2 linked regions of the Danio rerio genome follow. The protein of the gene in region 2 purifies or fractionates together with the protein of the main gene of each other region. This does not show direct contact. Links are inferred from orthologs where the notes say so. Each region holds a gene or a part of one and is shown on either strand. Other genes may lie near its edges.

Region 1 (3,940 bases), on a different chromosome or scaffold from region 2:
TTTTCAGGTTACATAACTAAAACATCCACTTTTGCTTTTTTCAAGAACACATATTCAAGAAAATATTAAAAACTGAACCAGCTGCATCAGATCTTTCAGCATTGTCGAACTACAGCTGCCTTATTGAATCATGTCTTTTAATCATATTCGACTTCGGTGTTTGAGATCCAATCATTGAGCTAATAGTACAACCATTTTATAGAAAAATGACTATCTTTAAAAGCTGATTAACACAACAGTAACAAATGTATTATTATTATTATTTGTTTTCTTTTTATTAACACATGAGTCAGTGTTGGTGAGATACAAATTTAATTTTTTTTTTATTATCTAAATAGTGTTTCCAATAATCATTCATTCATCTTGTTTTCAGCTTATTCCCTTTATTAATCTGGGGTCACCACCACAGCGGAATTAACTGCCAACTTATCCAGTTTTCCCAATTCACCTATACCGCATGTCTTTGGACTTGTGGGGAAACTGGAGCACCCGTAGTAAACCCACTCGATCATGGGGAGAACATACAAACTCAACACAGAAATGCCAACTGACCCAGCCTATACTCGAAACAGCAACCTTCTTGCTGTGAGGTGATCGTGCCATCGTGATGCCTTGCAATAATCAAATGTTAATAATACTTTATGTAGAAATATAATATATAAATACCCAATTTATATGGGAAAAATCTTGGAACGTTGTAAATTTATATTGAGCAACTTTATTACATTTTCAATAATGTAATAACATTTATTTATTGCATTTTTACTTTTTCTATATTTTTTATCATTTGTTTTAAGCTACAACTTGCATTTGTTTTTTTAATCTACTGTTAATTAATTGTTTTATTAAATTTAGATCACTTGTTAAAATCATATTTCAGTTTTTTATTTATTGTTTTAAAATCCTATGATATGTAGTTTATTTTTATCCAGTTTTATTCAATTTTTGTTTTATACCAAAGTGCTAATTTGTCTAAATAAAATATTATATTCTTATAACTCCTAATCTGAGGACAGTACTTCTTCCATCTGTGTGTTGTTGGCCCAACGTTGTTCTCCTTCCCGCGTTCATGTGTCTGAAGCGCGTTCGCGTATCCTTGCAGCGCCGTTCCCGTGAAAATATATTTCAACAGCTTCAGTCAGTGCGCGACACCGAGACTGCCGGGCGACAGCAGCGTCTCTTTTTAGCGAATGTGGAAACACAAACAACCAAACGATTAACGGACATATAACCTAACGCTGCCCGACGTGTGGTGAATTATTTTTTACAATTAATTCGTTTGGCAGCAGAGGGATATTTTCTGGAGGTAAGTGCAATGTTTAAATCCTCCACTCGAGGATAATGGATCTGTTGTTGATTTTACTAGGCTTAGCGAGCTAGCTAGCTTAAAAAGCGGCTAGCCGACCATGCTATCAACAATTTTACTGCATTCCTCAGCAAAACACATCTTGTGAGTTCATTTTTTTCTTTAACACAATGTGATTCGCTGTGTGGTTCTTATCCAGTAACAAAATGCTTTTTAAATATTTTAAACGCCGATATATGGTCCATGTAGCCATTATTAGCCTGCCTTTGCTAGCTTTATATGCTTGTGCTAAGTGAGAAACACTGTTTATGTGACGAAATCAAATGTAATGCAACCAGTGCAGTGTTTTCCAATCGTAATTAGCGTATGTGTGCAGACGTGTTATTTCTGTTTATATTTCAGTCCTAAGATTAAGACCTCGTTTATTGTCAACGGATCATTTTTGACTGTTTCTAGCCATACAGAGATGGCTTGACTGACAGAAACTGTATTAGTTTGCGGTGCAAAAGCAGCCTCACATTATAAAAGTTAACTTGAACACAGAGACCGATACCAACATGTGCTACAGAAAACATTTTATCACTGGTTATGGTCAATATAACATATGGTGGTGTTGATTTAGAAGTCAGCCCAAAAGAAAAACATGCATAACGTTAAGGCTAACCATCAGCCGACACTGTGTGTAGGGTCGACACGATCAGATCGAGCATGTTACAGTAAAATCATCAGATGTGCTTGTGCATGTGACACCTAAAGGAGCTTAATGTCGTGAATGCTACACATGGGATTTATTTTAAGCTTTCGTGCTCGCAGACGCCTTGAACTTGGCTGCTCGATCACCACTCCGATTTGTTTACAAAGCGGCTGCAATTCGCCATGGAGATCCTATGCTTACATCGTTGTTGCGACTCAATTAGACGGTACTGTTTTTGTTGTTCTTTATCCTTAAGGATCCGTTTTAGCACCTCCCCTATCAATTACAGTAAACGAGGTTAAGTTGCAGGTGGTTGAAGCAATAGCTAGATAGGATAGGGTCAAATCCCTTCTGTAACTAACCCTGTTGTACTAAAGGTAATCTTGTTGTGAAGATGTTTTGATGCATAAATGATGCAATTTCGTGGATGTGACTTTTGCAGTAATATCTTAAAACTTAAATTTACATAGAAAGTATATGTTAACATTATATCGAAACATCTGTTTATATTTTCCAAAACAGCTCACCACTGAGATATGGGAGCAAAAAATATCAATCTGTAATTAAAAAAAAATTTAAATGAGCTAAATAAACATACGTTTTGGATCTGACTAAAGAAGTCTGCAAGTTTACAGTATACAACATTCTTTATAGAAATTCTGTGAATGAAACGGCACAACCCCAAAGAAACAATGCTAATCACAAGGAGAAGAGTTGGCTTAATGTAGAACAAAAATTATTGATTTTATTTTACATTTTTGCATTTATGAAGAAAGAGCTTCGTTATGAATATGACATTTCTCAATTATGGATGTGATGGATGTGAAATTAGCACTTGTGTGACTTTGGTTAATCAAATATAATTGTTGAAAAACATTGACAGAAAGATTTTTAATGTGTTTTTTACTATGCAGTAAAATACAGGCCTACACAAACATAGAAAGGGGTTCACTACTTTGGTGAAAACATAATTCATTTTTAATGGCAAGGTTAACATTTGCATGAAATTGTTCAAAATAAATCCAGGTTTTTAGAAAAGCTTATTTTTAAAAAGAACTGCTGAATGTTAGAAATGTCATGAGGTTAAACACATTTTTTTTTTTTTTGGTTTCATCCTTGTCCAGGTGCTTGGTAATGCAATCCTTCACCTTCATTTGTGAGGTGTGAGGAGAATGAACTGTATACATATTATGTTTGGAAGCATTCTTCACAACGTTTTTTGTTATTATTGTTTATAAGCTCTTCATATACAAATGTAGGCTCTCTGGCGGGATCTTTTTATGCTTACAAGCACAGAATGACTTAAATATGTCTTTAACTATTATATATATATATATATATATATATATATATATATATATATATATATATATATATATATATATTACTAACAATAGCAGTAGTTGTAGTAAAATTTGTAATAATTAAATGATCTGGGTAGGGCTGCACAATATATTGTTTCAGCATTAATGTGTGAATACGCAATAGTCATTTGCAGTTGTAATTTGTTGATTATATTTTATGCACTCCTCAACAAAACCATCCCAATGTGTCTAAAATTATTAATTAAGCTATCTTGAGATAAATGGCAATATAAAGTGCAGAAAATGTAAATATCGCAATGTACATTTTTTCCAATATCCTGCAGCTGTATATCTGGGGATATATTCCTTATAAACAAAAAAACTAAACATTTTTGAATAGATGGTTTTTAGTTAAAAATGTCAATTTGTTGCTAGGATTTTAAACTATTTCTTATGTCTTTCTTAAAACCATGTCAAGTTGATTCTTCAACCCTTTACCTATCCCACCAAGAAAAAAAATATTTGGATTACATTTCTCAACTCGTAATGTCATAATTAACACACTCAATGTATTTTTTTTTTCAACACATCCTATAAATTCTGAAATATCAATCTCTACCAAATGTTTGAAATGTT
Region 2 (4,497 bases):
TTTGGAACATGTGGAGGATGAGTAAATGGTCAGAAGTGTCTCCATTTAAATAAATCATGACTTTAAATGGAAGCAAATACTTCAGTCAAACTAAAGATGTTAATGAAGATTAAAGGCTGGCAGATTTAAAATGGTGATGCTGCACTTTTATATTCAGTGGCAAAACCAACTTGGGCATCTTTTCATCTCGTGACATTGGAAATATAAGAAGACCAAAGGCCAAGGGTCAACAGCAATAGTCACAATCGAAAATTGTCAGATGTGCAAACTGAGATGATACAAACCAACACTGAGTAAAAATAAGTCAAAACAAAGAAAGACTGCATTGTTACAAGTCATGTTTGCAACAAAAGTGGAGAGCTACTTTATAACATTGCACTGACAGCTAATCGCTATAATACATGGATCTTTTTTCAGTCTGTCCTCTGTGCAAGATCTAATAGTGTCTGTGTTAATTACTAGTACAAACCTGTGATTAATTACAGACAAAGGGATAAAAGTTAGCTGCATTTAACATAATTAAAACCAACATGAATGATGGATAACAGAAAGATTATAATGTGATTAATCAAAACTCAATATGCAAATTCATAAAACCATAAAGTCAGTATGCAAATTTGTAGTGTAATTAATCAAATTTGATAGAGCTATTAATGCACACTGTCACTCTCTAAACTCTTGTCACTTTTGATAATGTTTATGTTATGCTACAACCACTTTGGTTTTGCATTTGATTTACTTGCACAGATATGCACATGTGAAGGCTCAAAGAATCTGTGTAGGTACAAAGGCATTGGATTTCCTACTGATGCAAAGGATCGTGGGATGCAGGAATGCCTGAGTAAAAGGGAAGGGTCATGGTCTTTCCTGTAAATGTCACACACTCATGATGAGGGCGATTTGATCTCCTGCTTCATATGCACGGTCTGGGCTAGTTTTAGAAGGTCAGAGTGGACAGACCATCTCAAATATACATATAATACATACTAAATACATTTATTTAATAATTTATTTATTTTAGCCAGTGTACAAATTGCATAGGGTTACAAGCCTAAATTACTTCTGCCTGGTTTCCTTATACATAACCTGCAAACCATTTATTTCTCATAATGCACTACATATTACTGAAGTGCTTACAGAATCATGGCCATTTGAGAAAGCATAATTCTCGATCATAGTCATTGCTTCTTTCATAAAAAGTACAAAGGGAAACTTTGATATGTCACTAGTTATATAATATTTAATACTCTAGCAAAGCTTGGTTATCATCATCATCAGTCATATATGCCATCATCATCATCATCATCATCATTATTATTATTATTATTATTATTATTATTATTATTATTATTATTATTATTATTATTATTATTATTATTCAGTAGATGTAGTAGTTTCATTCACTGTACCCCAGTACGACCTTGACATTCTAAGGGGGCGTGGTACTTATAGCCTAAAGTCCAGGGGGCGTGGTACTTATAGCCTAAAGTCCAGGGGGCGTGGTCAATGCTATCGCACCAGATATAAATTATCCTCGTGTTCGTAATCAGTCCACTCACACCAAGTGTCAGGACGAACAGAGGCTTCTCACAAACGGTAAATTTAGTTATTTCATGTTTCAAATGCTTGAATTATTTAGTGTTTAATTATGTAGTCTTTGCTCAGATTGCGCTGGTGAAGCCTTTGCAAATGTTAGCAACTTTTAAATATATGTGCATGTTAATGGCATGGAGCAACATTTCTAATGAAAGCTGAGAGTTCATGCTCTTTAGAACTTCTAGCCTACATTTTCTGGCCAATTGGGAAATGCTTGAGTATGAATACAACAGGCTACTGTGAACTACAAATGTGTATGAACTTTTTGTTCACTCTCTATCTGTAGTTAGAGGTGTTGCAGTTTCACAACCTGTACTTTGTTCCCATAACGAAAGACGCCTATAATAACGTGTGAATTAATTACAACCTTTTGTTTTCCTTCCAGAGGACACAACCAAATCAGGCATAATGGTTAAAGTTGGTATTAACGGGTATGTACTCCATTTGATTCAAATATGAAAGAAATGAACATTAGGCTGCTTGCAACTTTTATTATTAATTGTTTTGAACAACAGGACATCAGTTTTATTTTATTATAAGCTTGTTTGTTAGTGTTTTGCTGTTAAATGCTTTCTGGAAGTTGTATTAAGTTTTGACTTTCTAATTGATTGTAATGAATGGTTGGAGGGGGTGTCACCTAAGCCAGCCAGTCAAACTGCTTTATTGGTGTTGTGCCATCGCTGTGTACATTGACGTCATCATGACGACAAATAATGGTAATTTTTATCTGTGTACTTGGCTTCTTTGCCTTGTATTTTACTCCAGGTTCAAAGTTTGCTTCGAGTCTGCATTTTACTTAGACCATGTTGTACAGGACTCTGGGTTCAAGAATCCAAGCTTGTGTGTTCTGCATTGAAAAACCCCCAGCACCAGCTGTGACCTTTTCAAAGCTTATTGGGTTGTGTAACAGGAAACTTGATCCTGAAGAGACCAGTACAGGACACATGCATATCGTTCATGTGCACACAACCTGAAACTTTAATGCTCATCCAGGACTGTGCTGTGAAGTTTAGGCACCCTAAATTACAGCACAAGTCTTTTGCGACTTAAAATATCCACCTTTAGATGGAAGTCTGTCTTTAGGCACTCAAAAGGTTATGACCCCAAGTTCACCCCAGTGGTGTCCTTAAGTAGCCTTGGTTCATTTTACAAGCAAGAAATTTATAATAGGCCTACTTTGCATTTTTGCCATGGGTTTATACAATCTAAAGTTATATGAAACTTCAATTATGCAAGTAATTTGACATGGTCTTCAGTTTATCAAATTAATAACTTTAAATACAAAATCCCTTTCTAAAGCCTGTTACAATGTCACTTGACTTTATGATTTGAACACTAATGGCACTGGACAAATGGTCAATCCACATTTGCTAAGAGCACTGGAAATTTTTACCTTTGCCCTGTTTCTCTATCTTTACAGACTTGATGCAAATGTTTTGAAAGTGTACCACTACCATATCAGTGTCTTATCAGTGCATGAAAGTATGTACTGTGATCATTATCGCAGTATCAATAGGCTGCTTTCTTTGACCTATTGATTGAATGTACAGCTGAGTGTTGCAATAAACAAAAAGGGAATTCTGGAACTCCTTGTGGGGTCAGTCCTTCTTTCTCTGCATTTTGTGCAGTGTTGTTGGATGTACTAAAATAGCTCACAATGGCAGCTGGAGGCCTATGGAATTTGTATCCTTGCCTGGAGGACATGCCTCTATGAAGCTGGGGCAAATATTTGTGGAGATCATTCATCCAAAAGCCCATTCTTCATGATCTAGCTCTTAATCTCCTGTAGCACATAGTTGACTTTCCCCAGAGTTTATTTATATTTTTGGTTTATTATTATTATTATTATTATTATTATTATTATTAATAATAATAATAATAATAATAATAATACTATTAATTACTTATTATTATTTATTATTATTATTTATTATTATTTTTTAAAATTAATTTATTTAACTGCTGTCTGCTCCCACTCTCCAATTGACCCAGAGTTACTGCGCTCACAAGGGCACAATGTTTGACTTTGTGCATGTTCAGAAATGGGTCCTTTCTGCCATCTAGTGGATAAGTTGCCTGACTGCGGTTGTTTTCTTTTTTTTTTCTTTTTTCTTTCTTAATGTGAGATGAAAGCAAGTGTTTATGAATGAGCTTTTTTTTCAGATTCGGTCGCATTGGCCGTCTGGTGACCCGTGCTGCTTTCTTGACCAAGAAAGTGGAGATCGTGGCCATCAATGACCCATTCATTGACCTTGATTACATGGCAAGTTCCTTAATTTTTTTTTTTTTTATTTAACTAGTTTTGGGGTTATTTTGAATATATTTATAGTGCTTGTTTCTTCACAGGTTTACATGTTCCAGTACGACTCCACCCATGGAAAGTACAAGGGTGAGGTTAAGGCAGAAGGCGGCAAACTGGTCATTGATGGTCATGCAATCACAGTCTATAGCGAGTGAGTGCGGTTCCTCCAAACTATGCATGGTTTTTATTATTATTATTATTATTATTATTATTATTATTATTATTATTTTTGCAAGCATTGGGCTATGCTCATGATCTCTGCCTAAACAGGAGGGACCCAGCCAACATTAAGTGGGGTGATGCAGGTGCTACTTATGTTGTGGAGTCTACTGGTGTCTTCACTACTATTGAGAAGGCTTCTGTACGTAATCATGGATGTTACATAAGCTGCCTGCAACAACAATTGTTTTTCTGTAACTGAAATTTTGCTCTCCTGGTAGGCTCACATTAAGGGTGGTGCAAAGAGAGTCATCATCTCTGCCCCAAGTGCAGATGCCCCCATGTTTGTCATGGGTGTCAACCATGAGAAATATGACAACTCTCTCACAGTTGTAAGGTAAATGGTGTTTTTATTATTTATTTATTTATTTATTTATTTA

What was found. Proteins that work in one complex are often made in the same cells at the same time.
Region 1: the proteins of gapdh (region 2) and siah1 purify together in Homo sapiens (affinity purification with western blotting; 4 studies listed by BioGRID). This does not show direct contact. The link is inferred for Danio rerio from reciprocal best matches to the Homo sapiens genes GAPDH and SIAH1.

What each region holds. Positions count from the first base shown.
Region 1 is NC_133193.1:19,825,026-19,828,965, forward strand, and holds the start of siah1 (E3 ubiquitin-protein ligase Siah1), read left to right. Parts: upstream 1-1,140; 5' UTR 1,141-1,306; intron 1,307-3,940. UniProt on the Homo sapiens protein: E3 ubiquitin-protein ligase that mediates ubiquitination and subsequent proteasomal degradation of target proteins.
Region 2 is NC_133191.1:17,266,688-17,271,184, reverse strand, and holds the start of gapdh (glyceraldehyde-3-phosphate dehydrogenase), read left to right. Parts: upstream 1-1,553; 5' UTR 1,554-1,596; intron 1,597-1,981; 5' UTR 1,982-2,004; coding exon 2,005-2,027; intron 2,028-3,759; coding exon 3,760-3,859; intron 3,860-3,942; coding exon 3,943-4,049; intron 4,050-4,168; coding exon 4,169-4,259; intron 4,260-4,338; coding exon 4,339-4,454; intron 4,455-4,497. UniProt on the Homo sapiens protein: Has both glyceraldehyde-3-phosphate dehydrogenase and nitrosylase activities, thereby playing a role in glycolysis and nuclear functions, respectively.